Arabidopsis thaliana: one gene and its partner. The protein of the gene in region 1 binds, or shares a complex with, the protein of each later gene. Each region holds a gene or a part of one and is shown on either strand. Other genes may lie near its edges.

Region 1 (15,849 bases):
AAATCCCTAACCTCAATCAAACGGCTCCTATTCCCGTCATCATGATCCGAGGATGGAGACAAAGTCGACAGAAGAAGAATCGGAGAGGAAAAAGGAGAGCTTTTTACGGCGGTGGATACACAGAGCAGCGACTCAGAAACCTCGCGAAGGCTTATGAGGAAGATACAGTAGAAGCGTATTGAGCAGTTCAGTGTTCGCAACGGAGGCCATAGAGATAGACGAAGCGGCGGCGGGAGGCGGAGAATCGCCGGTTTAGCGTGAGATAAGAGTCGAGGAATCCGATTCTCCCGCCTACTGACACGTGTCCAAGGTACGTTAAAGCAAGTACGATACTTTTCAGTAATAAAAAAAAGTAAGAAGTCAAAAAAGAAAGAAACTTTTTTAAAAAACTAAAACGACGCCGCTTTGTTCGTCGTTATGCATCATTATGCAGTGTAGACTGGTACAGATGTTTTGTGGAAAAACGTGAGCCAACCCCACGTCCCAATAAAAACAACACAAAACCGCATCAACGTCTTTTAACACTCTCTCTCTCTTTCTCAAATCTGCTTAAAAGCGTTTATTAACTACTCTTTATTTTCTCATATAAAAATTCTCAGCGAAGAAGAATCAGATATTTTCTGGTCTTGCTCTGCCTAACTCTCACATGTAAGTTCTTCTTTCTTCCTCCATTCTCTACTGTTGAATCTTGCCTTTTTCCTTACCCCCAATGTATGCTTCTTCTTATTTCTTGTTTTCTTGGCTAGCTTGGTTCTTGGTTTCTTGTATGAGGCTAGTAGCTTTATAATGATTCGTTTGGAAAATAAGAAAATGAGAAAGTACTTCTTACGGATTCGTGTGCTTATTCAATCTTTTGTTGAAATTCGAACAGTAAATCTTAAAAAGCTTGCTTTTATTTTTGCTTTTTTTCTTCTTTCTTGTCACTGATGAATAACGAAGTTGCTTTTTTGTTTTCTTGGTTGGCTGCTGATAAGCACCAAGGTTTCACAATTTTGGGGGTTTCTTTTTTAAGCTGACAAGTGACAAGTCTTTCTTATCTTGAGTTTCTTCCGTCTTTGTTGTTTTGCCAGAGTTTCCCCTGTTACGAAGATGAGCAGAGATTCAGTAAGAATCGTTGGGGTTCTTCTATGGATGTGTATGTGGGTTTGTTGTTATGGGGATGGAGAGTATCTGTTGTACAAGGACCCGAAACAGACGGTGTCAGATCGAGTTGCGGATTTGTTTGGTAGAATGACTTTGGAAGAGAAGATTGGCCAGATGGTGCAGATTGATAGAAGTGTTGCCACTGTCAACATTATGAGAGATTACTTCATCGGTATGTAAAAGAACAATCTTTCTTGGAGATTTCCAGAAATCTGATTACTTACTTGCTTGGCTAGTTTAATTGGTTCATTTAAACCTTATTTTGGGCATCTTGTATGGTTTCCTTAGAAAACTGGTCGGTGCTACTGGTGTTGTTAGGTGAAATGAGGATATCATTCAGTTTTTGCTTTCATTGAACTTCAGTTTCTCATCATCTTGTTAATAAAGAACTAGATAAGCTGCGTAACTTGACTTGGTATTGAGTATCTGTATTTGTGAAACTTGAAAATTGAAGTTGTCTGTTTGTTCTGTACAGGCAGTGTATTGAGTGGTGGTGGGAGCGCTCCACTTCCTGAGGCAAGTGCTCAGAATTGGGTTGATATGATAAATGAGTACCAAAAGGGGGCTCTAGTTAGTCGTTTGGGAATTCCTATGATATATGGCATTGATGCCGTTCACGGGCATAACAATGTCTATAACGCTACTATTTTCCCTCACAATGTTGGTCTTGGAGCCACTAGGCAAGTATTAGCTAAAACGTTTATTCGATCTTGCATGTTTCCCATCTCTGTTTCTGTGAATGCTGTCTATATTTCTTCTGATGATAGATTTGAGTTTCACAGGGATCCTGATCTTGTTAAGAGGATTGGAGCAGCAACTGCAGTCGAAGTCAGAGCCACTGGAATCCCATACACATTTGCTCCTTGCATTGCAGTAAATTTTCTCACCGTCTGCCTAACTTTTATATACCTGGCACTCTTCATATCATTGGTACTTTGGACATTTGTTAAAGTTGTTACCCACTCGCTTTTTGTAGGTTTGTAGAGATCCCAGATGGGGTAGATGTTATGAGAGCTACAGCGAGGATCACAAAGTCGTGGAAGACATGACGGATGTCATACTTGGTTTACAAGGAGAGCCTCCTTCCAACTATAAGCACGGAGTTCCATTCGTTGGTGGCAGGTAAGGCTTTTGTTAATTTGGTTCGGTTATGATAGCCTTACAAAAGTATGTTCGGTCTTTCATGCGTGTTATTTTGATAGGGATAAAGTTGCAGCCTGTGCCAAGCATTACGTGGGAGATGGTGGGACAACCCGCGGAGTAAACGAGAACAACACTGTGACTGATTTACACGGTCTTCTTAGCGTTCACATGCCCGCTTATGCTGATGCAGTTTACAAAGGTGTTTCCACAGTGATGGTTTCATATTCGAGCTGGAATGGTGAGAAGATGCATGCAAATACTGAGCTGATCACAGGGTATCTTAAGGGTACCCTTAAGTTTAAGGTCTGCTTACTTATCACAACTTCAACGCACATTCTCTGTGTTCTGGCAGTAGTCTTTCTGAATGAATATTTCTCTTTCTCCATGTATTTTGTAGATTCTTGAATAGAACATATATATAGCATGTGTGAGTTCTTAGATGAAGGAGTTGATTTTGAATGTTAATTCCAACTTATCATCTCTATGATGTGTGCAGGGTTTTGTTATCTCGGATTGGCAAGGTGTCGATAAGATTTCCACACCACCGCATACGCACTACACAGCTTCCGTCCGAGCTGCAATTCAAGCTGGAATTGATATGGTTAGTGTTTCATACTTCACAGACATTCCTGGACTGAAATAGGAAATTGTTACTCATGTTTGTGTTAGCTAATGAAATAATATGCAGGTCATGGTCCCCTTCAACTTTACCGAGTTTGTCAATGATCTTACAACCTTGGTGAAGAATAATTCAATTCCTGTCACTCGGATTGATGATGCTGTCAGAAGAATCCTGCTTGTCAAGTTCACCATGGGTCTTTTTGAGAACCCTTTGGCTGATTACAGCTTTTCCAGTGAACTAGGAAGCCAGGTCAGTTGCCTAATAACCCTGAGCTAGAATCTGTTGCAAGTACTACAAAGTCTTGATGGAATGTTCTCAATTTATATTAGGCACATAGAGACTTGGCAAGGGAGGCTGTTAGAAAATCCCTTGTGCTACTGAAGAACGGGAACAAAACCAATCCTATGCTCCCACTTCCCAGGAAGACTTCAAAGATCCTAGTCGCTGGCACTCACGCTGATAATTTAGGTTATCAGTGTGGTGGTTGGACCATAACTTGGCAAGGATTTAGCGGTAATAAGAACACGAGAGGTACGTTCTGCAACTCTTATTGCAGATTATACAAGTTCTATCATCTTGTCTGTGACTGTTTATGCTTTGTAAGTTGTAACAAATATCTTGTGACTGTTAATAGACTGTACCCTTTCTTCTGATTCAGGGACTACACTTCTTAGCGCTGTAAAATCAGCTGTTGATCAAAGCACTGAAGTTGTCTTCCGCGAGAACCCGGATGCTGAATTCATCAAATCGAACAACTTTGCTTATGCAATCATTGCTGTTGGTGAACCTCCATATGCAGAAACAGCTGGAGACAGCGACAAGCTAACTATGCTTGACCCCGGTCCAGCGATTATTAGCTCCACTTGTCAGGCTGTCAAGTGTGTGGTTGTGGTCATTTCAGGTAGACCACTTGTGATGGAACCTTACGTTGCCTCGATCGATGCATTGGTTGCAGCATGGCTACCAGGAACAGAAGGCCAAGGTATCACTGATGCTCTCTTTGGGGACCATGGCTTCAGTGGAAAACTTCCTGTTACATGGTTCAGAAACACAGAGCAGTTGCCTATGAGCTATGGAGATACACATTATGACCCGCTATTTGCTTACGGGTCTGGTCTTGAAACTGAGTCTGTTGCGAGCATTGTTGCTAGGTAAAATACTTCACACAGCTTCCTGTTTCATCTGTTGCAGTATTCTCTGACACAAGATTAAGATTCTTAACCCCTAAGTTTTGGTTGCTAACAGGTCAACCTCAGCTTCTGCTACTAACACAAAGCCCTGCTTATACACAGTCCTTGTTTCTGCTACATTGTGTCTGTTTATCTTCCCAAGGTATCATCACCAGTTTCAACTTCCGTTTTGATTTCTTTACAGAAATTGGTGAGAATCTGACATTTCTTCTGGTAACTTTTTTTGTGTGTGTAGCTTAAGCCGACTTTGAGAAGATGAAAAGTTACAAAAGCTTGGAGTAGATAGATTCTTTCGATTATCTGATCTGATCAAGTGAGTTCTTGTTAGCCTAGCAAAAGAGACCCTGAATCTGTGTCGTGTTATGTTCAGAGTTATTGCAACCTGAAACATTATTGGATATTCACACCAGAACGTTCTTCTATTTAGGTTCTTGAAAATTCTAATAGACAAATTCTCTTCTTGAAATCACCATTCTTGAAATTAAGTCACATAACTTCTCAGAAAAAATGATACATCTTCTCAACTGATTAAAACTGACGTCATTTGGGGAACATAACTTACAAGACATAATAAACTTGTGAAGAAAGCAAGAGAACATTATGCTTTCTTTGTAAGAGAAGTAACATATGAATGATGACCTGAGACAAAAGAAGAGATTTTGATGATCACAAGACATAGCCGCAAAACTAGGAATATCCATTGCATAACAGTAGAGAAAATGGCTAAGTATTGCAGAAATTCAAATCTTATTTATATGCAGAGCAATAAACACCTAATAGTATCATCAAAGCTCAAATTTAACCAGTTCATAAGAAAGAGGAAAGATAAGTAATTAATAATGGCAGCGAGACAGCAACAAAAAGGAACAGGCTTCGGGGTTCAATACGAGGACTTTGTCCCCAAATCCGAATGGAAAGATCAACCTGAAGCCACCATTCTCAACATTGACCTAACAGGTTGGTATACAAAATAGTAACTTTGGACTACTTATGGTGGTTTAATTATAATGTTATGATTTGGTTTTTAAAGGTTTTGCAAAGGAGCAAATGAAAGTGACGTATGTGCACAGCTCGAAGATGATAAGAGTCACTGGAGAACGTCCCTTGGCTAATCGGAAATGGAGCCGTTTCAACGAGGTGTTCACTGTTCCACAGAATTGTTTAGTGGATAAGATCCATGGGAGCTTTAAGAACAATGTCCTCACCATCACCATGCCTAAGGAGACGATCACGAAGGTGGCTTATCTTCCAGAAACTTCTAGAACTGAAGCTGCTGCTCTGGAGAAGGCGGCGAAGCTAGAGGAGAAGAGATTGTTAGAAGAATCTAGAAGGAAAGAGAAGGAAGAAGAAGAAGCTAAGCAGATGAAGAAGCAGCTTCTGGAAGAGAAAGAGGCGCTAATTAGGAAGCTGCAAGAAGAAGCTAAAGCAAAGGAAGAGGCTGAAATGAGGAAGCTTCAAGAAGAAGCTAAAGCAAAGGAGGAGGCCGCGGCAAAGAAGCTTCAAGAAGAAATTGAAGCAAAAGAGAAACTTGAGGAGAGAAAGCTCGAGGAAAGGAGACTTGAGGAGAGGAAGCTCGAGGATATGAAGCTTGCGGAAGAAGCTAAACTAAAGAAGATCCAGGAGAGAAAGTCTGTTGATGAATCTGGAGAAAAAGAGAAGATACTAAAGCCAGAAGTGGTCTATACAAAATCCGGGCACGTGGCTACTCCCAAACCTGAGTCGGGGTCTGGTCTCAAGTCCGGGTTTGGAGGAGTAGGCGAGGTGGTGAAGTCAGCGGAAGAAAAACTAGGAAACTTGGTGGAAAAGGAAAAGAAAATGGGGAAAGGGATAATGGAGAAAATAAGAAGGAAAGAGATAACAAGTGAAGAGAAGAAGTTGATGATGAATGTAGGAGTGGCTGCTCTTGTTATCTTTGCTCTCGGAGCTTATGTTTCTTATACCTTCTGCTCTTCTTCTTCTTCTTCTTCCTCTTCGTCTCCTTCTTCATCATCATCTTCTACCAAACCAGAATGATATATCTCTAAGAAAGAAAAATGTTGTGCAAATTGAAGAATGTGTATATTATATACTTTGTGATATATTTCTACAGTCTAATAAAGTTTGATGATGTCATATTTAAGACCTATATATCATAGTTTTATTGAGACAGGATTTAAAAAAAAAAAACTCAATAAACATATGAAACAAATGAAAAAATATCCATAAACCCTAAACCCTTTTAGATTTGAAGACAGAGAGACCTGAAAGCTTTTAGTTCAATCGATCTTGTCTGACCAAAAATCTGTGTATAGGAGAGAACCCAGTTGAATTGGGAACTGAGAGAAGCAGAAAGTAACTTCCTTTACCGGAGAACGAGAAGTGAACGGTGAAGGCGGCGAGGTTGAGAACCATGCCTCTTCGCTCATTTCGTTTTCTAGAATGCGTTTCACAAAAAGAATAAGCCTCTTCTTGGGGCAGACGACCAGGATTCATAGTCGCTCTCTATTGGGAAATCCGACTTTATGCAGGTCTTATATCGTTGGTCCGGTCTCTACTAGTTCTCCGGCGTTTCTGATTTCGAGTCGTAATGGTGATGGTGTTACGGGATTGTACTACCCGATACGTCGTCGTTTCATCGGGCACACTGCGGAACAGTTCTCGGATGATGAGTACGAGTGTGAATTCGAGGAACATAAGGTTCGTGTTTTGTTCATGATGCTAAATTGTTTAGATAAATGGAATCAATCAATCAACATTTGTGTTGATCTCCAGAGTAAAAAGTTTCTCAAAATGGAATTTTTAGGTGTTTGTCGATTAGATTGTTTGGTGGAATGACTATGTAAATGAGAGTCTTTGAACATTTTCTGTTTGATCCTTTATACTTGGGAAATGATTTGATCCTAGGCGTGAATTGGTTTTATAGGCTTCATCTTCTGTGGCCAATGTTGATGAGTGGAAGTGGAAGTTAGGAATTTTGTTGGCCAATGATAGTGAACAAGAAATTGTTTCCAGAGACAAAAGGGATCGAAGAGATTATGAGCAGATCTCAAATCTTGCTAAGAGAATGGGACTTTACAGGTATAGAAAACTGACTTTTATTGGAATCAAATAACCCTATGTGTTTGTGTGCGCTATGTGCTAACCCAATTCTTGGTTCCAATTTAACAGTGAAATTTATGGAAAAGTGGTTGTTGCAAGCAAGGTTCCTCTTCCTAACTACCGACCAGATTTGGATGATAAGCGACCACAACGGGAGGTAACAGTGTCTCCCTTGGTTTACCAAAATCATAATGCACAGTTTTTATTTGTAGTTTTATGCTGAAATTGTAATGCATCTCATCGTGCAGGTGGTGCTTCCGTTGAGTTTGCAAAGAAGGGTAGAGGGACTCCTCCAGGAACATCTTGATAGTCAGCAGCTAAGCTCAGGAAAGGCTAATGAATGCGTAGCTGATTCTCAACCTCCTAAACAGACTGAAGAACTTCCCGATGAAAATTCTGATTCGTTTCTCGATGGTTCTGTTATGGAGAAGGTACTTCAGAGGAGGAGTATGCGGATGCGCAATATGCAGAGAACCTGGCAGGTATTACTCAATCATCTTTACCCCACGCCTCTTGTCTTTTTATCAAAAACTTTCTGCTATAGCAGTAGTTATTTGGTTGAATAATAGGAATCCCCTGAGGGACGGACGATGCTGGAATTCAGGAAAACTTTGCCTTCATTCAAGGACAAAGAAAGACTTCTTCAAGCTATTGCTCGGAACCAGGTGAATTTTAGAGCGGGATATCTTCGCAATGCAGCAATGCATGGAAATTAATTTTTTGATCTCAACTCTCAAATTCTCAGGTGATAGTTGTATCTGGGGAGACTGGATGTGGTAAGACAACTCAGCTTCCACAATACATTTTGGAATCAGAGATAGAGTCTGGTCGGGGAGCATTCTGCAACATCATTTGTACTCAACCTAGGAGAATATCTGCCATGGCAGTTTCAGAAAGAGTGTCAGCTGAAAGAGGAGAACCTCTTGGTGAAACGGTTAGCCAAAATCCTTGTCCTTCAATTGAGCATCGATTCAAAAGCTGTCTGATTACTCCAATTAACACTAATACTTTGTTAAAAGATGCTTGTTTATTCATGACTTCATACCTAACAGAGAATTTCCGATAGGTTGGGTTTAAAGTTCGTCTAGAAGGAATGAGAGGAAAGAATACCCACCTTCTATTTTGTACAAGTGGTATCCTTCTCAGACGGCTGCTTAGTGATCGCAATTTGAATGGAGTTACACATGTTTTTGTTGATGAGATTCATGAAAGGGGCATGAATGAAGGTACATATCTATATATCTAATGTATGTTTAGGTTTCTGCAAATAGAGTCTCATAATAATATGCCCCTCACTTCTTGGTTGCAGATTTCTTAATTATAGTGTTAAAGGAGCTTCTTCCACGGCGTCCAGATCTGAGATTGGTTCTCATGAGTGCCACTTTGAATGCTGAACTCTTTTCTAATTACTATGGAGGGGCACCTACCATTCACATTCCTGTAAGACAATGTTCTTCCTCAATAGTCTTGACACTCTAGATATTCAGCATGATTTCCGTGTTTCGAGTTGTTTCTATGGGAAGCCTTGAATGTATATATATTTTCAGGGCTTCACACATCCAGTGAAAGCACATTTTTTGGAGGATGTACTGGAAATAACGGGATATAAGCTGACCTCTTTTAATCAAGTTGATGATTATGGCCAAGAAAAGACGTGGAAAACGCAAAAACAGTTAATGCCTCGCAAAAGAAAAAACCAGATCACTACTCTTGTTGAGGTACTTGGCTAATTTTTTACATCAACTGGAAATTCCTTAGAATTAACTCTAATTTGCAAGTTTAACTAACTGTGTTTCTGTTGGTCAACTAGGTTTGCTGAGCAGACCAAATATTCCAATAACATTGTTCACCATTGTTTCTTTAAAATTGCAGGAAGCTCTCAGCAAGTCAAATTTTGAAAGCTATAACTCTAGGACACGTGATTCTCTTTCGTCTTGGATGCCTGACTGCATAGGATTTAATCTCATTGAGGCTGTTCTCTGTCACATATGCCGAAAAGAACGTCCAGGTGCTGTATTAGTATTTTTGACAGGATGGGATGATATCAGATCCCTGAGCGACCAAATTAAAGCCCATCCTCTCTTGGGAGATCCGAACAGGGTTTTGCTATTAATGTGCCACGGTTCAATGGCAACTGCTGAGCAGGTTGATTTATATCCTCACGTGTTACTTTGTTTCCTTTCAATTTGAGTCACGACTCTGGAGAAGTACTAATTGTAACTTATTTAACATATTTCGTTGATGTTTACGCAGAGACTCATTTTTGAGAGAGCACCTCCTAATATTCGCAAAATTGTTCTTGCTACAAACATGGCAGAAGCTAGTATTACAATAAACGATGTAGTGTTTGTGGTTGACTGTGGAAAAGCAAAAGAGACCACCTATGATGCTTTGAACAATACACCTTGTCTGCTACCTTCTTGGATATCTCAAGCTTCTGCGAGACAGGTGAATACATTATACTAAAACCTATTGTTGTAAATAGATCTTTCTTGTGTTTTGCATCGTTCTTATTTTTGATTTCAGAACATTGACTCCTCTATATGATTTGATTGCATGATTATCATTGTTGCAATTTCAGAACATCCATTTTGCTATCTGGTACATCTTTTGATAGCTATAAAGCTTTCTCATTTGGTATGTCCAACATTTCCCCTCTATTTGGCCTTCAGAGAAGGGGAAGAGCTGGGCGTCTGTTTCCGGGAGAATGCTATCACCTGTACCCCAAATGCGTCTATGATGCTTTTGCAGAGTATCAACTTCCTGAACTTCTGAGAACTCCTTTAAACTCTCTCTGCCTGCAAATTAAAAGTCTTCAGGTTGAAAGCATTGCAGAATTCTTGTCAGCTGCACTTCAGGCTCCAGAGTCTTTGGCTGTAAGTGACAGATAAATGTGTTCATAGAGATTTCGCCAATTTCCATGTTACTAGTAACATCTTTGATTGATTATCAGATTTTTTTGTATGTGGAAGATATGATTCTTATTGTCTCAAAATTAGTCAACATAACTGTAAATATCATGACAGGTTCAAAATGCTATTGGATTCCTGAAAATGATCGGAGCACTGGATGAGAAGGAAAATCTAACGGATCTTGGTTTGTGTTCTAAGTCCTGTACAAAAAATGGTCCAACTCTTTCTTATACTACATGTATCATGACTGACTTTCCTGCTTGTTGTATTTTTGGCCTGTTCCAACTAGGAAAACTCTTATCGATTCTTCCTGTTGATCCCAAGTTGGGGAAAATGCTGATAATGGGTGCCATCTTCCGCTGCTTTGATCCGATCCTGACAATTGTATCAGGGCTAAGTGTCAGAGATCCTTTCCTTCTACCTCAAGACAAAAAAGACGTAAGTATAAGGACTCATGGACGAACATTTATTTTTATCATGATGTACGGTGATTGGTTGATTAATTGGCAAATAAATGTTTTTAAAACTTACTTTTTGGTCTTTTGAATTTTATTGAAGAGTGGGTTTTTATAGGCGGTTTTAAGCCAATAGATAGATGGATATATAACTTTTTATGAAGTATGTTGTGGTTTAATCTCTCAAACTGAGAGATGATTTCCTTGTTTTATTTTAGTTAGCTTTATCAGCCAAGTTGAGATTCTCAGCCAAAGACTACAGTGACCATATGGCACTCGTTCGTGCCTTTGAAGGGTGGAAAGATGCTGAAAGAGAAGGATCGGCTTATGAGTTTTGTTGGAGGAATTTCCTGTCAGCTCAGACGCTTCAGGCGATACATTCTCTGAGGAAGCAGTTCAACTATATTTTGAAAGAAGCTGGCTTAGTTCATGATGATTTAGCTCTCAACAACAAGCTAAGTCACAACCAGTCTCTGGTTCGTGCTGTCATTTGCTCTGGCCTATTCCCTGGAATAGCATCTGTTGTGGTAAGTCTAAGACCCATGTCTCTGGCTAAGTCTCCTTTCTCGTGTCAGAGATTTCGGTGAAATAACCTTGTTGTCCTTTTTCTTTGCACAGCACAGAGAGACTTCCATGTCATTCAAGACAATGGATGATGGCCAAGTATCACTATACGCGGTGAGCCTCTTCATTCGTATTTCCCAACATCATTACTTGAGTCTCTCGATATGGCCATCTTTTTTATTTAAATGGTTTTTACGGTTTCTATGTTTCAGAATTCTGTTAATTCGCGGTTCCCAACAATTCCATACCCTTGGCTAGTCTTTGGAGAGAAAGTAAAGGTCAATGCGGTACTCATACGGGACTCCACTGGTGTCCCTGATTCCAGTTTGATCCTTTTTGGTGGTTCATTGAGCACGGGAGTACAGGTGATTTCTCTCATTTTCCTCTTTTTAACCCTTACACTAGTCAGATTATGGAATACTCCGGAATCGAATGGATTGAATGTTGTGTTGTTTCCAGGTGGGACATCTAAAAATGCTTGACGGGTACATTGATTTCTTCATGGATCCAAATTTGGCTGAGTCCTATGTAAAGCTGAAGGAAGAACTCGATAAGCTTCTTCAAAAAAAGGCGAGTTTTTTTCAATTTTAAAAGGAAAAAGTGTTCGTAGTGCAGCACTTTAACACCTTTAGTATCTTTACGATTTGCAGCTTGAAGATCCAAGCATGGACATCCACAAAGAAGGCAAGTACCTCATGCTTGCAGTTCAAGAACTTGTGGCTGGAGACCAATGCGAAGGCAGATTTGTCTTTGGCCGTGACACAAAGAGGCCAAGCCAACCGCAAATAGGAGAGAACAAACACTCCAAAGACGGGACAAACCCGAAGAGTCTCCTTCAGACACTTTTGATGAGAGCTGGACACTCACCTCCAAAGTACAAGACAAAACATCTCAAGACAAACGAATTCAGAGCACTTGTGGAGTTTAAAGGAATGCAGTTCGTTGGGAAGCCTCAGAGGAATAAAACGCTCGCTGAGAAAGATGCTGCTGTTGAGGCCTTAGCTTGGTTGACTCATACCTCTGATAATAGTACTGGCCAACACAATGAGGATGCAGATTCTCCACCTGATGTTACTGATAACATGCTTAAACTCCTTGGAGGACGGCGCAGGCGATCCAAGGGCAAGTAATTGAATCTCTGTAGGTTTTTTCGCAGACAGATTTGGTTTGTGTAACTGTGCTTTGGACGATCTCAAATACCAACCAAAGCAGATAGAGAAATTATACTTCAGTAGTCACTATGTAACTATAGTGTCGTTTTTGGGGCAGAACAATAGTGTAGGGTTATAAACATAAAATCTAGAAACTTTAGGGGCTATGATGTATTTTGAACAATAATTGGGGTTATTATCATCTTATATGCCGCCACGTGGCATTTAACTCTCTCTGAGCTTGCTCGCTTACGCAACTCTCTCTCTCTCTCTCTTTGAGCTTCTGTAATGGCTACTTGGAGTGGTTTCAACGTCTCTTCTTCTCCGTTGCTTAGGCTTCGGTCTTCCTCCGTCTCAAATGTCACTAAGCTTCCGTTTCTCTCTCCTATTTGCCGGCGTCGGTTACTGGCAGAACGCTTTGGTCTCGCAACTGTCGTTGTTACGCGCCAAAACCTCACGGTTACTCCGTCGTCTGCGGCGGTGGAAGCTCGTATCTCAGGGAAAAGAGAACCTATGACGCCTCCGTATAACATATTGATCACTGGCTCAACCAAAGGTTTCATTCACTCTGTCTTTGTCAATTGACTCGAGTTTTTAATCTTCAGAAGGGAAAAAACATATTTTTTTATCTCATTGTGTCTCTAAAGAGTGGTTTTTGATTTATTGATTGTTCAGGTATAGGATATGCATTAGCTAGAGAGTTTCTGAAAGCAGGCGACAATGTTGTGATTTGCTCTAGATCAGGTTAGAACCTGTCCCCATTGTTGTCTTGAACTCCTTTTCTAGAGTTTGTGTGTCTGTAAGGAAACATGCAAGCAAGTAATAGAACCAATCTTCAGTAGAATTTTGCTGTTATGGCTGTTCCTGTCTTGCAGCTGAACGAGTTGAGACTGCTGTTCAGAGTCTTAAGGAAGAATTTGGGGAGCATGTGTGGGTACCGCCTTCTTTTACTGTTCTTTTCCATTCGTGTGGTCTTCCAAGGTTTTTGCTTTATGTGCATTGATATCATGAAACCATTTTCTCTTAGTAGGGAACTAAGTGTGATGTTACGGAAGGGAAGGATGTGAGGGAACTTGTAGCTTATAGTCAGAAGAATCTTAAATACATTGACATTTGGGTACACTCTCAAAACTATGAAGAACGTTCATTTGTTGGTGACATCTGTGTTAATGTTGTTCAGAGTATTTTACTATGTTTTCTTTTCAATTTTGTAACCATAGAAATAGTCTTATAATACCATCTTGAGATGATACAGATAAATAATGCGGGATCTAATGCATATAGCTTTAAACCTTTGGCAGAGGCCTCAGATGAGGATCTTATGTAAGTCTTGTGTTAAGCTTGATCCTTCTCTTCGTTAGTTTCTATGTGATTGGTTTCAGTCATTTACTTTTTGAAATCTTTATGCAGTGAAGTTGTGAAAACCAACACTCTAGGTCTCATGTTATGTTGCCGAGAGGTAGTCAAAGATGTTATAAGGAGATGAATTCAGCGTGTCTTTTGTTATTATCAGTTGGATTTACTGACATGTGTTCATGATTATTAGGCAATGAATATGATGTTGACCCAATCTCGAGGTGGTCATATCTTCAATATTGATGGAGCTGGTTCAGATGGGAGACCAACACCCAGGTTTGCTAGATTCATTAAAGTTTCTTGGGAACATGCTTTAGTAAATCTCCTTTAGGCTCTCTTCTCTGTACTGTCTAATAGCATTTTTTTGATTAACGTTTGACAGATTTGCTGCATATGGTGCAACTAAACGGAGTGTCGTTCACCTGACAAAGTCATTACAGGTAATGCCAGAGTTATATCTGTTGAACTCTTCTTCGTTTTCCCTTCTCCTTATATGACTTCTCTAGTAATTCCTGTCTTTCATAGGCAGAGTTGCAGATGCAAGATGTCAAAAATGTCGTGGTGCATAATCTATCGGTATGAATACAATATATTGCTTCATTTCATTTTTGGTTGTTTTTAGTGTCTTCCTAAATACACTGATACAGACATGCGCATAGAGATGAATAGAATGGATGGATTATAGTTATTTGAACAATTTGAATGAATTCAGGATCTAAACATGATCATAATTCTAATGTGTTTTCTCTGGATTATTGTTGCAGCCTGGAATGGTCACAACTGATCTGCTCATGTCCGGAGCAACTACAAAACAAGTTCGATGACTTAACACTGAGGAAATATTTAGATTCCATTTCAAGAGATTCTCTCTAATACGTTCTCTATTGCAGGCCAAGTTCTTCATTAATGTTTTGGCAGAGCCAGCCGAAGTGGTAAGAACCCATTAACTCTTAATTCTTTTTAGCACAACAATTTGACACGATCTCTAATCTCTAGCCCCATGATTCATGATCACACATTCGTTTGCAGGTGGCTGAGTACCTTGTCCCAAACATAAGGGCAATACCGGCTAGCGGATCTATGAAGCCGACTTACATCCGTTTCCTAACTGGAATCAAAGCCTACACCAAAATATTCTCAGTTAAGACGATTAATAGCTCTGCGTAGAAGTAAATCAAAGCATGTAAACTATTTCTGCAAATTACTTAACCAATTTGTTTTTTTCTTTGTCAAATTTTGGGAATTTGTTTCAGAGAGTTGCGTTGGGAGCAAGGAAGAACAGGTATGTTACTGAAGAGTAGGTGTCAAACTAAGTATTAGAATTGTATTGCTTTCTCAGTTTGTTCAATGGTAAATAAAAACCTCTACATTTTGTTCATGACAACTCCAAAACATGCAATCTATTGTACAATTTGGATTTAAGCTCATTTGCAAAAATGTGAGATTTCTCAGTTAATGATTGAAGTGATGATTTAAAAGTCAGTTTTTTTTTTCCAACCATAATAATTTATAGGCACTATTTTGAGAATCAGACCAGATTTGTCGAGACTGGGATCCAAATGCCTGTGGTCTAGTTTACAATTTAACAAGCAGCAAAAATGTCATTCCAAACCAATCAAACCGGGTAAAACCGAAGAACCGCCTCAACCGGACTTGATATCAAAGCGATTAAAATCAAATTACGGTTCAATTTAGTAAAATCGACTAAACCGGTTAGTTCGCAACTTTCTCTTTGCTTCTTCGTCTCTCTCTCTCTGTCGTGTTTGAGAAGACGAAAAGAGTCGGAGAGAAAGATCGGACGATGAGTGCCGAAGATTTCCAGAAGAAGGTTTCCCTCAGAGATTCCCTCTCCGGCGATATTGAGAACGAATGCGGCGGTTCCGGTGTCGGGTCTACTAGTTCGACGGTGGGCTCCGGCGTCGCCTCTCAAACCCTGGTCCTGCTTCGGAGTCTGTTGGAGATTCAGCAGCGCCGAGCTCAGGCTTACGCCAATCTCAAAAGGTTCGATTGATTCATTGGAAATCTCTCAAAGAGTTAGTTTATTTGTTGCGGTTTTGTTAAGTTCCAATTGATCCATTGCCTGAGAGTTAGACTTTGTTGGTGAATGTTGAAATTGAGGCAAATAGTGTGAAGGATAGAGAGGGAGATGTTTTTTATATTCGTAGATTTCCATGTTTTTGTTACTGAGATCTTCCTCTATTAATCTGAGCTGACTATGTTTTCGAATTCAATTAT
Region 2 (15,968 bases), 3.0 Mb from region 1:
CCTTACAGGCATCTGCAGCGGCTGCGTTTGTTTAATTGTCGCAGCCGCTTGGACTCACACAGTTTACAAACCTTTTACAGCCACCATCTCTTTACTTGCCTTCTTCATTGGATACCTCATGGTAAATTACACTTTGAACTTTTCAACTCTAAAATGTTTGATTCAAATAGTATTCTCATCATATTTTTTGGATTGTTGGTAACAGACCAGGATCTCTATGGCATTGCCTCACGCCTGCGTAGGTTGCTACTACACGTGCTATGCCGAAAATCCGGAAAGCAGATTCTTCGAAGACAAAGTGATAAAAACTAGGCAAGATATGATCAAAAGTGGCCGTGTTGCCGTTACCAGTACCACCCCTAGAGTTCGCCGTGCTCTAGCTTAGCCTGATCATCTTTTTTTCCTTGGTGCTAAATTTTCAGAATGAAATAACTAGTTTTTTTTTTAAAATGTATTTAAATTTGAAAATGTAATTTAATTACAGAAAGAGTGAAGAGCCAACCAATATCAGTAGGGGTGGGGAAGAAATTGTGGATAGAGATAAGCTCGTGACATGGACACAATCCAACTAATGACCCAAAAGCCAAGTTGGTTGAGAGCTTTTTAACTTTTTATTTTTTCCTTTGTTGTTGTTGAGACCCCTCAATTACTTTCTGTACATAATTTATTCTTTTGTTCCTTCCTGTATATGGGTATATTCCTTTCTTGGTTTTGGAAAGTAGTGTAGTTTTGAACTTTAATGAACTATTAGTAATAGTGGTACATCTTGTTAAAGTACTTCAAGCTTTAGCTAGCTTTCTGTATATGGGTATATATTTCTTTCTCTTACTTAGCTTCATTGAGTTCAGCAACAGTGATCTCTTTCTACTTATAAAATTTTTTAGTCTTAAAGGCCCATCTTGAAAGAATTTGAAACTTTTACAAGAATCCTATCAGTTTTATAACATCTTACTACAAACAATCATAGGCCCATCAGTTTTTCAGTTATCAAAGCAGAGAGGCCCATTTTACAATTATACTAAACGTCATATGATCTCCATTCTTCAGAGAAACAAGTCCAATCTTATCATTTACATGAAATCTAAAACCCGCCACGTGATTCGTCGATTACACAGAACCCATATACCTGAAGAAAAAAGAAAAAAAGAAAAAAAAAAGCGAAATTGTTGTTTGAACGTGTGGTCGAATTTTATCGTGGCGCTGAATTAGCATCCACAAGTGAAGAAAACAGAGAGAGAAAGACAGAGAGATCTCTCTCTCCTTCACACACACAGATACACATGGCCATCGCGAGCGGGTCATGGGTAGCCACTGTGAACCACCATGCTAATCCCCACAGCTTCACTTCTCCGACCAAACCCATTTTCTTTCTTTCTCAAAAGCCTCACAATTTCCATGTCTGCTCGTCTCGATGCTCTATGGTTCTTGAGGAAGATGAAAAGAAGTCACCGAGTCCTAAAGAAGACAAGTGGCCATTTTTTGAACCTGGTCCGAATGACCTTAACCGGGTCTTATCCAGGTTTCTCCGAGACCCGGAAACTCGGAAACTTTCTTCTGAATTCTACGAGAAAGCTAAGGAGAACTCTGAGTTGAGAACGACCAAGCATCTGATAAGTTACTTGGTGAGTTCCAAGAGTTGGGACTTGCTTGTTTCTGTTTGTGAGGATCTCAGGGAACATAAAGCATTGCCTGATGGGCAAACGTGTTCGAATCTGATCAGGAGTTGCATCAGAGATAGGAAATTCCGAATCACACATTGCTTGCTTAGCGTGTTTAGATCAGACAAATCATTGGCGGTATCTGCATCTGATGCAGCGATGAAAGGCTTTAACAAACTCCAGATGTATAGTAGCACCATTCAAGTATTTGATAGGTTGAAACAATCTGTGGGAGTTGAGCCAAGCCCGGGTTGTTATTGCAGGATAATGGAGGCTCATGAGAAGATTGGTGAAAATCACAAGGTGGTTGAGTTGTTCCAAGAGTTTAAGAGTCAGAGGTTGAGTTTCTTGGCCAAGGAATCAGGCTCTATCTACACGATTGTATGCTCGTCCCTTGCAAAATCAGGACGTGCATTCGAAGCTCTAGAGGTTTTGGAGGAGATGAAAGATAAAGGAATTCCGGAGAGTAGTGAATTGTACTCTATGCTGATCCGTGCATTTGCGGAAGCGCGGGAGGTTGTAATAACCGAGAAGCTATTCAAAGAAGCAGGAGGGAAGAAACTGTTAAAGGATCCTGAAATGTGTTTGAAGGTTGTACTCATGTATGTCCGAGAAGGAAATATGGAGACAACTCTAGAGGTTGTGGCGGCGATGAGAAAGGCTGAGTTAAAGGTCACTGATTGCATACTCTGTGCGATTGTGAATGGATTCAGTAAGCAAAGAGGCTTTGCTGAAGCAGTTAAGGTTTATGAATGGGCTATGAAGGAAGAATGTGAGGCTGGGCAAGTGACTTATGCAATAGCCATCAATGCATACTGTCGGCTTGAGAAGTACAATAAGGCTGAGATGTTGTTTGATGAGATGGTGAAGAAGGGGTTTGATAAGTGTGTTGTTGCATACTCAAACATAATGGATATGTATGGGAAAACACGGAGACTAAGCGATGCAGTGAGACTCATGGCTAAGATGAAACAAAGAGGGTGTAAACCCAACATTTGGATTTACAATTCCTTGATTGATATGCATGGAAGGGCTATGGACTTAAGGAGGGCTGAAAAGATATGGAAAGAGATGAAGAGGGCGAAGGTGTTGCCGGACAAGGTGAGTTACACTAGTATGATCAGTGCATATAACAGATCAAAAGAGTTGGAGAGATGTGTGGAGCTTTACCAGGAGTTTAGGATGAACAGAGGAAAGATTGATAGGGCCATGGCAGGAATCATGGTCGGTGTATTCTCCAAAACCAGTAGGATTGATGAGCTAATGAGGCTGTTGCAGGACATGAAAGTTGAAGGAACCAGGCTTGATGCTAGGCTTTATTCCTCAGCTTTGAATGCTCTGCGTGATGCTGGTCTCAATTCCCAGATCAGATGGCTACAGGAAAGCTTTGACGCTGCACAAACTAGTACTTCAAAATATTCGAATACAAAGAACACAGGAACTTTAAGTTGAAAGGGAAAACTGTACAAGCCAAGATTATTTTTCTTGTAATTAAATGTACTATATTGCCAATAGAGATCTGCTATCTTGCAAATAGAAGATTTCCAGCTTAAGTTGTAAAGCCTTAATGAAAGCTTGGAATTTCCAAAATGATACATCAAAAAAAGGAACGGCTAAATTTTCAATACAACCAAAGAAAGACAAAGGAGTAACACAGAGTGGTCACCAAATGTATTTGTCACTCGGAATCATATGAATGGAAATAGTGAGAAGTACTAGAGCGAGCCAGTGAACCCACCTCAATATACTCATAATTATCTGCTTTCGAATCTCATTTGGAAACTGCTTTACCATCTACGGCTTGAGCTGTTTCTACAACTTTTGCATCACCAGAACAACATCCTCCTCCATGGTGATGATGATGACCGTGGGCGTGGTGATGGTTCTGCTTCCCCTTGAGATTCTTCCGCATGTCATAAGCATCCTCCCCATCGGCGTAGTACTTTGCTTCTACATCATTAATCTTGTAGCCTAATGTCTCAGTGTATAGATTGAATGCTGCTCGGTTACTTCTCCTCACATGCAACGAAACATACTCAGCCTCGTAAACCTGCCACAAAACCCCGACCGAGAATGAATTTAAAAAGTCCAAGTTCGAGAGTGAAAACAACTATCAACCTTTGAGGTCTGCTATTATTAGTTTCACAGGCAATCAGAAACTACTCGTCTCCGTCAGTCAAAAGCATAACACGACCGGAGACAAAACTTAATCTCTTTATACAATCTACAGAGCTTAAGTTACTTCAAATTCCAATGACAATTGCAACAATCACTTTGACACACAAAGTTTCTAACTTTCAATAAAATCCTTTAACTTACACCATTATATCAATCTTCAACATAAACTCAAACCACACAAATTCTTCTATATCATCCAATTATTCAACACGAAACTCTATATCAATTCAATGAATCTGCTTAATTGAATGCAAAGATATACGAAATTTGAAGATTAGAGGAGTAACCTGTTCCATGGCAGCTTGAGCGGCGGTCATGAGCTTAGTGGCGAGACCGAGCTTGCGATGGGTACGAAGAACGGCGAGAGAAGTGATGTGGCCGTGGCACTCGTTGCTCTCTTCCTCCATCTTAGCCAAGACATAGCCAACGATGCGACCATTGTAGTCCTCGGCGACGTAGAGAAGCTGAGGCCATGAGAGGATATGGTAGAGGTAGTACTTCATCTGGTAGTTCTCAGGAAGACACATGAGATTGCAGGCTTGCATCGCCAGCAGATCATCCACCGTCGCTCGCCTGATGCAAACCATGGCTGCTCAATTGCTCTCGCGCGGATAAAGAGGGGTTAGGGTTTTCGGTCTAATGCCTTTGGGCTTTATTAATCTGGGGACGAATTGTAATTATAGAGAAATATGAGGTCTTTATTGAAACTTTTGCTTATATTTTAGGGGCATTTAATGAAATTCATTATAAACTTTTTCAGTTTAGGATTTGAGGTCCAATTGGGCCTTGATTGTAATGGAGTAGGAAGATTCCGATAACCTTCACTTTCTATAAGCTTATTTCTCCGCAAATTTTCTTACTATACGAGATGTCAAATAACTCTGTGCCTTGTAAAGATTATGGATTTCAAACTCTCAGCTAGGCATATCTTTTTTATAGGAGAGACAGTCGAGAAATAATCAAAAGAAGAAGGACAAAGAGAGTTGGTGCAGAGATTAGATAACTGAATCTTCTCTTCTTTTTGCAAGTATCCCTCTAAAATTACTTTTAAAACAATCGGATACTTGCTAAAGAGGAAACATTAGTAGCCTTCTCCCATACTTTTCTAGGACTAAACAGAGAACCTTTGTCTTTTGGCTTCAGGTGGAGAATTTGCTAAACTAGACTGATCCCCTCTTTCTGCAGTTTCGCTGCTCGTGTTTGTTGTCACTGAATCGCTTGACGGGCTCTCTCTTTCTCCTTCATTCGTCCTTCTATCATGTGCCTCTCCCGGCAACCTTGGAGAAAACACAAGTAGTAAGAATTTTATAACTCCAGTTAGTGAGTGTTAAGGCATATGCATAACTAACAGAGGAGGAAAAAGACTTATATTTATCTTAAATCAGCTTTCCAATAATGCAACCAATGACAGCAAATAGACTTAAAAGAGCAATACCCTAATTGCAAAGTTGTGTCTGAATCGGTGTTCTGGAGGCTGCATTTACTGTCGTGGTTTATGAGAGCGTTCTTTGGATCTATAGCAAAGCATTTGATGTAGGATGGAACATAGTGGGTGAACGACGGGAGAAAGCTCCTCAGTTCTTGAACCTGTTTCAACAAGTAATTACAAGTCAGAGGAAGAAGCGTTCATTAGGAGATGATTCAACAAAAATAATAAGAACCTGTCTACGCAAGGTCTCGTTTTCCAACTCTGCTCGTTGTTCCTGCAAAGTATATATATGGCTAATCAAGAAACGAATTATACTTTTGCACTCTGTACCTAGTTATATAGGAGTCTTAAGACAAATAAACTGCACACTAGCTAGTTAGAGCATGAGCTTGTCAAAGGATAGCCACTGGTTTTAACAAGGTTCAGAATCATGTGATTACACATAAGCTTACATTTGGAAGCTAGAGAGGAAAAGCTAGTGTTTACCTTGAGGCGTGATTCTTCAAGTTGGTTAGTCAGCAATCGTTCCTGAAATCAGATAACCATAATCAGGACAATGCAAAGAGAAATGATGATGGAAGAGTGATATTACTAGTTACCTTTCGCTCTCTGACAGTAATCAATGCATGATATAGTTGCTGCTCAAGGCTTTGCAGCTCTTTAAAGGTCAGAGGATTCAAGCCCTTGCCCTGCAGTTGTCTACAACAGAACAGAACACACAAAGCCAAACACTAAAAACAAACACAAAGTAGAGAAGAATAAAGTAATGAACAAGCATAGTGAGATTTATTTAGTTTCCATACAAATGTTTCTCTTGAAGCTTTGAAAGTTGATCCTTTAAAATATCCACCTCTGCACAATCCTCCTGGAGGTTCTAAACAGCAATCAGATTTTCAAAAAAACAATTTCAAGATATATGAGACAAGAATGAATGATTCTCACCTCTGCTTTAGAAGCTGAAGAACTCTGGTGATTACCGTATCTGGAAAGTGTTTGCTTCATTCTAAAATCAAATGAGAATTCAAAATTAGGACTCTCTTCAGCTCAATCAGAAAACTTTTAATCTTAACAAACATGCAAAAACAAAAATCAATTACAGTTCCCGAAATCGATTCTAATCACAACAAGACAAGACATGCAAAAACAAAATTGAATCAAAAAGAAATAAGTGTTACCCAGTACTGGAGTACTCGAAGAGCTTGCCAGACTTAGAGAAGACGATGACAGCAACTTCAGCATCACAAAGAACAGAGAGCTCACGAGCTTTCTTAAGTAACCCAGAACGCCTCTTGGAAAAAGTGACTTGTCTGCTATTCGCATTCTCGATCCTCTTTATCTCGATTTTTCCACGACCCATTTTCCCCCAAAATTGAACAGAGAGAAGAAGGTAGAAGGAAGAAGAAGAAGAGGAAAGGTTCAATGTATTCCAAAATGGGTTTAGAAGTGCTTTTTGGGAATCTATTAATGGGAACACAAAAGATTGCTAAATTTGGATGGAATATTTTTGTTTTTATAGAAAAAAGAAAGAAAGGTAAAAACTCGGTAATGAATGTTGTGTGTTGCATGGCCACTGTTTTGCGTGCTCTCTTTTTTCAATTTTAGGGTTTTTTGCATGATACCTTTTTGCCACATTTGGAGGATTTTGTCAGTTCTTCTGGGTCCTACTTTCCCTTTTCTTCCTAAAGTTGTTTTTTTCTTTCCTCTTTTTTCCTTCCCTTTAAAATTAGATTTATTAGTACTAGTGTATTTTCTCTTTAATGTTGTTGTAAGACATAAATCAGACCAACAATGTTGACCGACATAAAAATAAAAAAAAGTTCAGAGCAACAATTAGAAACAATTTCAAAGTACCCCCAAGAATAAAATTGCAACAACTAGCATTGTTTGATGGTTACCATTATGTTATCAACTAGTGAGAGATAAAAAAACATACTGAGAAGTAATTTCTTACAACTAGTGTAGAACGACACTTTAGTAGCAGCTTTGTAACACCGGTTTTTTTTTTTTGACACTCAAATCAATAAATAGATAACGAGATTTTATCAGAGACTAAGAAACAAATTAAGAAAAGAAGCAGACCAAATCTCATGTTGGATATATAGCCTGTGTAAGTAAGTTTCTCAAAAGTGGTTTGGATAGCCTTCTAATTCAGTCCCTTATTTGTTGACCGTGGAACTGACAAAAATGAGATTCAAGCTAAGGGAAGAATATGGTCAAGGATACGACTTTGCCTCGAGAAAAGTAACCAATGATACGTCTTTTCAAACACCATACATGTTCAATAAAACTGTTCACCTTTGGAAATTATTAACAATTCAAATACACTCACTTTCTTCTTTTGGAATCAGAGTAATTTCAAGCTCTCTTCCAATTTTTAAGACAACTCATATGGCCTGCAATGTCGCCTTCCTATATTAATCTGAACCTGTGGATTATATACAACAATGCAAGAAAGGAGTTCCTTCGATTTAGGTGACTAACTATCAAGTAGATATTTTTCTAACTTTTCCTTTTGAACATTTTAGAAACTTGATTCTACAGACAACATTATATAGCTAGCATCGGATGCAACATAGATTACAATTAATTTACACTAGACGACTGTTCCATGCTTCTTCTATGCAGACTTCCCTCCAAACACCCTTATAAAACTGGATCTGAAAGATTCTCTAACTCCTCTCCAGTACGTATAGTTTGACCCATATAACCACAGATTCACTGCTTTTTTCCAACCATCTCTCGGGAACTCAATTTCTCTACCAATCCTGGACTCCTCCCAATCTTCTTCAGTGTCCTCCAAAAGCGGGAGCGCTTCAAAACCACCAGACTCCAGGTGCTTGATCCACCCGCGCATCAGATAGTTCACCACCTGCTCGTTTTCATATCCCAAATGGTGGGTTCATTATACCTAATTGCAGAGTTTGAAGAATTTATTGACTAGTTCATTATACCTCAGGGACTTCATCGTGTGGGCAGTGACCCGCTGGGCTGATCTCGTAGTATGGAGCGTTGGGGATTTCCTTCTTTATCTTCTTTCCCCATAACGGTCTCACCCATGGATCTTCTCTTCCATACATGAGACATATCTGAACATTGTTTTCCTTACACCTAGCATAAACCATCAAATAGCAGCATTCCTCATAAGCAATAACACCAATCACGCAGAGTAAAAAACATATAAAAACAAGAAACCACACTGTCTTATACCTAGATAAAGCTTCGGAGAAAGATAGCTCTCCACCAGGAGCAAGCATGATTGAAGCAAACGATGCTGCAGCAGCCGGATGCTGTGTGACCTCCACAATACGTGAGAATACTTTATCCACATTGATAGAATGGTCTGTGTAGACCTGTTTAAGTATCTCAGCTATGCTTTCAGGATCACTTATCTTTTGCCACCTGCAGTTTCATTGGGAAGTAAAGATATTAGACTGATAGAGATAGAAATAGAAAATGATACTTTTCAGGTGAGGAGATGTGTTAATAAAGTCTCCCTTACACCAATTCTGTGATTTTTTTCACTCTTTCCGGCAGAGGGAATGCTCCGGGCCATGGAAAGAGACGTGCTAGCTTTGGGGATCTTACTGGATTAGGGAAGAAACCCCAGAAAGGTGTTGCATTAAGCAAGGTAACACCCTTAACCAGGTGAGGATGGGTTGCTGCAAAGTAGAGAGCTACATACCCTCCAAGTGAGTTCCCTGCAATGTACACAGGCTCACCGATAACCTGTACAACACAAATACCACATACTCTTACCGACTCAGCAGCTTATTTCAGATGAAAAAGATCGTGATCTCAAACTAGAACACAAACGGAATCAAAGAACAGAGATGAATTCTAATATCTAGTGCATCCTAAACTTTCCCATTCCCAAAGCAACACCAGAAGACTCCATACCCACACTTTCAGGTTCTGAGCTGAAAACTATTGAAATCCATGAGTATACGACACATAGCAACAATCTACACTAAAAAAAAAAAGCTAACACACTGCTTTTGAAATTACGACTAAAAGAACAAAATCAACAGCTTAAAGAGTAATAGAACAACTGAACTCAGATATTGCTAACCTCTTCTACAAAATACTGAACTTGATCCCTCCAGAGATCCAGAGAGAATACAAGTTGATCAGCCCACGGTTCAGTTTTGTCACCAAATCCCCAAAATGGTTCCTTATCTTCCGAGGAACTGGTTTCTTCAGTCATGGTAGTAGGATCTTCAGTAGGGAGAGATAAACCCTGTCCAAGAAAATCAATAGCCCATACTCGATAATCCCTTCCCAAATCGGTAAGCTGCTTCTCATAGTGAAATGAACCAACGCCAAAGCCAGGAAGAAACAACACCGCAGGAGCATCGAGATTGTCACAACCGGCTTTCTCATAATGTACTCTAAGCTTGGGCTTCCACTCGCAGTGAGAATGACTGATTCGAGCAGCAATTTCACCATTTGATTCATCAGGCAAACCAGGAATCAAAACCTTTGACGTTGATTCTCCTCTTCTGGCTATACGACCCAAGTCATCATTCTCACCAACAACATAACCATCGGAATTTCCACTTCGAATCACAAGTCTGGATTTTTTGACCCCTGAGAATAACAAACTTGACCGATTTGGGACCAATCTTTTCGTTGCTAATTTACTACTCCAAGTAACCACAGAGCACTGGGGCACAACGTTCAGTGAGATTATCTCCATAACAAGTTCCTGCAAATGAACAACCAAAAGGCATATCCTTTAATACGAATTTTCCACTCATATATCTCAACTTCATAGCAAAGCTAAGAATAACAAGGAAAATCACATATGAAGCTGGAATCTTTGTATAGTTATCAGAATTTTGCTTCAAAAGCTGAAACCACATACAAAAAGTTGATGAACTTGCGGTAATCTTCTATGAACTCGTCTTATCAAATCCTAATCAAAACAAAGCAAATCAAGGTCAAGCCAATCTTCTATCAAATTGAAACCAAACAACAACAACACCACCCGATTCATCGACAAAGAACTCCAGCTATATAATAAACCCAGGAAGAAAAGAAAGAAAAGAGAGAGTTGCAACTTGTACCTTTTCAAATTCCAGAAGCGAGAAGCTTCATCAAATGGTCTCTCTGAGAGCGTTATTGAGAAATTAAGCGAGGAAAAATCTAAAGGTGAAGAAGAAATAGAAGAATTGGGTTGCTTGCTGGCTTGGTTAACTTCAATCGTTCGGTGCAAACCGACAGCAACGTTTTTATCGAGTTTTTATTTTTTCTTAAAGGATCCAAAATTCATACTGTATTATTAAGTGTAGGGTTATTTTTTTCACAATATGACATTTTGTTTTGGATCTGACATTGCTAATTTGACACCGATGTAACATTGCAAAAACACATGTTTGTTGCAAAAATATGACAGAATAATATTTTTTTTAAAAACAATTGATTTTTGATCTTCTTTTCCATTGTGTAACAATCGGAAAACAAAAAAAACAATCGAAAAACCTGCAGTTTTCATATCAAACAATATAAAACCCGTTTAATTTTTGAATGGTTTAATCACTATTTTAACGGTGTTATTTGAGTTTTCTAGTTGATTTTAAATGTTAGAGAATTGATCTTGTGTGAACTAAAAATCCTAATGGTCGAAGACTAGAAAGCGAAATACACTACTCTTCAATTAGAATACAGACAACTATCTCTAAACCGAGCGTAGAATCAATAGCAATAAACCGACCGTAGAAACTGGTTTCGCTGTAACCATAACCTTTCTTAATAAGACAACCGCGTTTTACCAGTAAACGACTTTTCCTCGCAATTTAATCCCACTTTTGTTATTTTTTCAAATTCGTTTTTCCTCGAAGGAGCATCGAGTAAATATATCATTAAAGAGCCTTTAATAACTTAGACATAATAATTATATCTTTAAAAAAAAAACAGAAAAATTCTTTGCTTTGCAACAAAGGCAGACAGACAAAAGGCTAATTCGGAGCTCTCCTCCACATCTTCTTCCAAAACACAAACAAACCCCCAAATTTCCAGAAAAATCAGATCATTCTTTCATCAATCTCGTCTTCTTTAATCTTAGGTGAGAATTCATCAGCTCAAAAACGCAGCACCCGATCGTTTTACGACTCAAATCAGAGAAGCTGATTCTTTTCCAATCATTCCAATTTCCATTTCTTCCTTGGGAGGTGATCGACGATTATTCAATTTATGTTTTTCAATTTCTCTTTCTGTATTCGTCAATTTGCTTGAATTTGATCCTAGGGTTTTGATTTTGTTGACTATTTTAGGTTTTACACCAAATTAGCCGTCGAAAGGGGTGCTTCTTTGATCTAATTTCGATGGCGGGATTAGAGAAAAACGCTGATTTCTCAGGGAAGACGACGAAATCGGCTACAACGACGTCGTTCTTCAACAGGTCGCTTACAATTCACGGAAGAACAGTGGTGGATTCGGGCCCCAAATCCCACAATCTCAATCCTTCTCTCAATCGTACCACCTCCATTACCAAATTCTACACCCCCGTAGAATCGATGGGAACTTCTCTTAAAGGCAAAGTCAAAAACCTTTGTAGATTATTCGAGACTTCCAAACCCGTTAAACCTGCCTTAGCTGAGATTCCTCAGAAGCAGAAATCCGGTAAATCCCTTTTACCCGAATCGCGGATATCGCCTTTTTCGAGCTTAAACAACTCGGTCATCCGTCTTCCCGGGACAGAGGACAGGATTGTGGTGTATTTTACTAGCTTGAGAGGGATTAGACGGACGTATGAGGATTGCTATGCTGTCAGAATGATATTTAGAGGGTTTCGGGTTTGGATCGATGAGCGCGACGTCTCCATGGATATCGCTTATAGGAAAGAGTTGCAGATTGCAATGGGAGAGAAGTCTGTGTCTTTGCCTCAAGTTTTCATTATGGGCAAGTATGTTGGTGGTGCTGATGTGATCAAGAGTTTGTTTGAGATTGGTGAGCTTGCTAAGATTCTTAAAGAGTTTCCAATGAGACAACCAGGGTTTGTTTGCCATTGCTGTGGGGACATTCGATTTGTTCCGTGTTCCAATTGTAGTGGCAGCAAGAAACTGTTTGATGAGGATGAAGATAGGGTCAAGAGATGTCCTGAATGCAATGAGAATGGATTGATACGTTGTCCTGATTGCTCTTCTTGAGATATATCATCAATGAACCTGAAAAAACCATTAAAAAAAAGAAGAAAAAAGAGGTATTTATTTCTCTTTTGATGTTTCCATTGTTGTGTAGAACAGTGAATGATGCTGCCACAAGTATCCGAAAATCTCTTTTGGATCAGCAGCATTTCACTTTGGGTTTTTTAAGGTTTGCGATCAACGGTAATGGGAATGCCGGTGATCGTGGATTTAGTTTATGTATGTGTTTGCTACTAAGGGCTAAATGTAATTGTGTAATCAAAATGTCTGAAACGGGTAGTAAGCATTTTGACTCTTGTGTGTCAATGTTGTGAAAGACAACTGTGTTCTTATGCTATATATTTGATTGTAAATATTTCGTGTGTTTATGGGCATCTTGTTGATTACGACAGTAATTGGGTGGTTCTACTCGCTTGATCGTCTTTTTATGACAACTTGGTTAGAAGTTTTCTACCGACATAATCCTCCATCGTTCTTGTTCGCTAACTCTCAAGTATGATCAAGGGCTCTCAGAACCAATTTATTGGTTGAGCGTAATTGAATGTTGGTGGTTAAAACATAACATATAAGACAATCATGTATCATTGACAATATTCTAATCTTGATTCCGCAAACATTCATGATTATATCGGTGACAAGTCCATAAGAAAAGGGTCATACTTCATTTTCGCATTTGATAAACTTTTGTTTCCGGCAAAATTACTTATTAGGTGAACTCAACATTTAACCTCTATTTCCGGCAAAATCATTACCTTAAAAGAAACTAATTCATTACTCATTCCAACGGACCAACTAGTCCTTTTGGCTTAGGTTGGAGCCAATCCGATAAGTTTGGAGAAATGACAAAATCAGACGTGGTAAAAGTGAACACTTGCATCACTAGTTACTTGATTTGTTTGAAGAGAGGTGTGACCTATAAGGAAACTATCCAACTCTTTCTAAAATGTCAAAGAGAGTTCTGAGGCTTTCTTAAGAAAATGCATCTATCCTACCTACGTTATTAGGTCCAAGAATAAATATTTGCAATCAGAAGCAAATTTCAATCTTGAAAAGCCCAAGTGTATAAAACGATGAGGCAACCTATCTGAAAACTCAACGTTTAAAAAGCCCAATATTGTTTTTGCCTTATTGTCATCATTATACAGAGAAGTATATGGTTTCTTTAGCTACTTGTTTTCTTATCTTTTGGCACGAGGAAATCCTTTTTACGTTTGAGTTTGCAACTTTCCTTCTTTTATAGTTTTAGTCAGAATTGACGGTTATAGATTGTTTTTCACGCAACGTTTTTTCTTTAATTAAAAGGTTACTTGAACAGTTGAACTACTTCTTACTAGTGGTATCTTCTTCACTCACGCATCCACCCCCCACTTGGACCCACTTAATACATACCTTACTTTATTATTCCGGTTTCCGACCCATTTTCAATCATAAATTCATAATCAAAAAATTTGTCCTATATGGAAAATTTATGTTTCTATCGACCGTGCTTCAAGCAAAAACCAAAGTTTATTTTGTATGATCGTGAATCTGAGAACGGGACGGCTCGATCGACTCTACCGTGTTTTTAGTCGAAAGGGTATAGTATTGAATTATTGATAGCTTTGGATAACCATGTTGTTTTTGCAATGTGACACATTTTGCCTATGTCGTGCTCGTGCTCGTGCATGAGCATGATCGAACGACTATGTGGGTGCTATCAATTCTTAGTCAATTCTGCATAAAACATTATGATTTCATGATTTCATACATTTAGGATGGTGACAATGTACTCAACAACTACTTATGCTGGTTTTGGCCCCAAAAAAACATCGTTTTCTAGTGTTTTGGAAACTCGTTAATTCGACGACCTCGCCCAATACGGATATGTTTGACGCGGCATTCATGTCTTGTCTTAATTGGTATGCTAAATATTATTCCAACCGTTAATATAAATATTTAGAGTTATGATTTGACTAAAAACATTAATTAAAATATGTATATTTCTTTTTTTTTTTTTTTCTTTTTTTTTTTTTTTTTTTTTTTAAAATATGTATATTTCGTAATAGTATTTCAAGTGTTAGTGTGCACTAATTTAAATGATTGATTTTTCTTGTAAGAATATTTCAAACTTTGAAATTAACTCTAGAAATCTTATGTAATGAAAACAAAACGAAAGTATATAGAATCACGATGAGATTAACTGGCTAAAAAGTAATCATCTTTCATACAAATTTGCTATACATTTTTTTAATAAGGACTTCTCTTTTAATGTGTAGGAAAGATGAAATCAAAACACACCTATAGATCTATTTTCCATAACACACAAGATCTGAACACGAAAAACAATTGTTATACCAGATATATACAATAGTGTTTTTTTTTTTGGTTTGAATGATATATACATTTACATATATATAAACACATATATTAACGTATAAAATATTACAGGAAATTTGATTGGAAATGAAGTCCAAGTTGAGTAAGTTTTATTTCAACCACCTCAAGGAATATATACGGCCTTGAAGCATACGTAACCATCTCAAAGGCAGTTTCAAATCAAACGTAGATGTTAGGGTATAATGTAAGATATTGAGATTCTTGTTGGCTAACGGAATATTATATCAATATCGAAATGTTGCCAGGATATGAGAACCATGTGATGATGATATATACGTGATTGCTTTTCTTCAACTTGGTGACAGAGAAAAAAAAAAGTTTAAAGGAGAAATAAAAGAACAAAAGCTGTTCAACCCAACCGAATTAGCTTGCAAACGAGTAAAGAGCAGATCTATGCCTCATCCGCTGAAGCATAATGCATGAAATGCTAGAATCCAACTCTCTTCGGTTTTTGTGCTATTATTTAGGATATTTCTGCCTGCTACACATTCGTTGTCGATATTTGAAAAACATTGGGATCAAAAGACATCTTATATGAATAAAAATATATTTGTTAATTGTTATACATAATTTGATGTTATTTTGACATACTATGACAATACATATGTTATCGTCACCGCAATATTAATTAACTGTTTTCGTCAACAGTGTATAAATGATTCCCATAACATTATTAAACGTTGAATGGTAGGAAGAACAACTTGGTATGTTATATATATAACAGAGATCTCATATTATAAAAGTATGAAAATCATGTGTGCACATAGACTATATCACATCTACATGAAACACAAACACAAACACATGGATTTCTTCTAAACACAACGACATGGATATAAATCCAGTGTTATCGGCGTATTAAAAAAATAAGACAATGTATGAGTGTGACAATCAACCATGTGAAATCTTGTCTTTCTATAAATATACTAGTTTAGAACTTTTTGTTTTATTTTATTTATTTGTTATTTTACTATATCTTAAGATAAGCTTATGCCAACTGACTTTCAAATTAAAATGGAATATTCTCGTTTTGTTAGGTGGTTGGATCTCGTTTTATTTAAATTTTCCTATATCCGTCTTACCGAGTAATTTAACATTTTTTACAACTAAGAATATGCTCTTTTCCGTCCAATTGGGAATATGCTTAACAACACTATCATGGATGATTATCCTAAATGTACA

What was found.
Region 2: NOL (region 1) and PPH share a complex: the UniProt entries of both Arabidopsis thaliana proteins name them as parts of the SGR1-CCE-LHCII complex.

Annotation. Positions count from the first base shown.
Region 1 is NC_003076.8:1,422,280-1,438,128, forward strand, and holds NOL (NYC1-like protein), read left to right. Parts: upstream 1-12,494; 5' UTR 12,495-12,546; coding exon 12,547-12,814; intron 12,815-12,933; coding exon 12,934-13,002; intron 13,003-13,133; coding exon 13,134-13,192; intron 13,193-13,288; coding exon 13,289-13,375; intron 13,376-13,513; coding exon 13,514-13,581; intron 13,582-13,668; coding exon 13,669-13,717; intron 13,718-13,804; coding exon 13,805-13,890; intron 13,891-13,996; coding exon 13,997-14,054; intron 14,055-14,139; coding exon 14,140-14,190; intron 14,191-14,378; coding exon 14,379-14,429; intron 14,430-14,504; coding exon 14,505-14,546; intron 14,547-14,643; coding exon 14,644-14,754; intron 14,755-14,867; coding exon 14,868-14,915; 3' UTR 14,916-15,216; downstream 15,217-15,849. Other genes in the region: AT5G04885 (Glycosyl hydrolase family protein), read left to right, coding at 787-818, 1,071-1,315, 1,619-1,823, 1,926-2,016, 2,120-2,265, 2,346-2,589, 2,783-2,887, 2,975-3,157 and 4 more; RTM2 (HSP20-like chaperones superfamily protein), read left to right, coding at 4,938-5,055, 5,129-6,111; ABO6 (DEA(D/H)-box RNA helicase family protein), read left to right, coding at 6,517-6,774, 7,001-7,155, 7,246-7,333, 7,425-7,658, 7,746-7,841, 7,922-8,110, 8,243-8,402, 8,486-8,616 and 11 more; AT5G04910 (DNA repair REX1-B protein), read left to right, coding at 15,416-15,615. UniProt on the Arabidopsis thaliana protein: Required for chlorophyll b degradation. Chlorophyll b, chlorophyllide b, pheophorbide b and pheophytin b can be used as substrates. Belongs to the chlorophyll catabolic enzymes (CCEs).
Region 2 is NC_003076.8:4,444,181-4,460,148, forward strand, and holds PPH (pheophytinase), read right to left. Parts: upstream 10,529-15,968; 5' UTR 10,332-10,528; intron 10,181-10,331; 5' UTR 10,128-10,180; coding exon 10,068-10,127; intron 9,971-10,067; coding exon 9,335-9,970; intron 8,992-9,334; coding exon 8,765-8,991; intron 8,665-8,764; coding exon 8,473-8,664; intron 8,374-8,472; coding exon 8,217-8,373; coding exon of another isoform or gene 8,211-8,216; exon of another isoform or gene 8,135-8,210; coding exon 7,883-8,134; 3' UTR 7,555-7,882; downstream 1-7,554. Other genes in the region: AT5G13760 (Plasma-membrane choline transporter family protein), read left to right, coding at 1-121, 206-385; AT5G13770 (Pentatricopeptide repeat (PPR-like) superfamily protein), read left to right, coding at 1,281-3,110; AT5G13780 (Acyl-CoA N-acyltransferases (NAT) superfamily protein), read right to left, coding at 3,430-3,708, 4,124-4,423; AGL15 (AGAMOUS-like 15), read right to left, coding at 4,948-5,113, 5,272-5,423, 5,498-5,539, 5,752-5,793, 5,865-5,964, 6,069-6,139, 6,208-6,268, 6,441-6,622; AT5G13810 (Glutaredoxin family protein), read left to right, coding at 11,589-12,413. UniProt on the Arabidopsis thaliana protein: Alpha/beta hydrolase dephytylating specifically the Mg-free chlorophyll pigment (pheophytin), yielding pheophorbide. No activity on chlorophyll. Belongs to the chlorophyll catabolic enzymes (CCEs).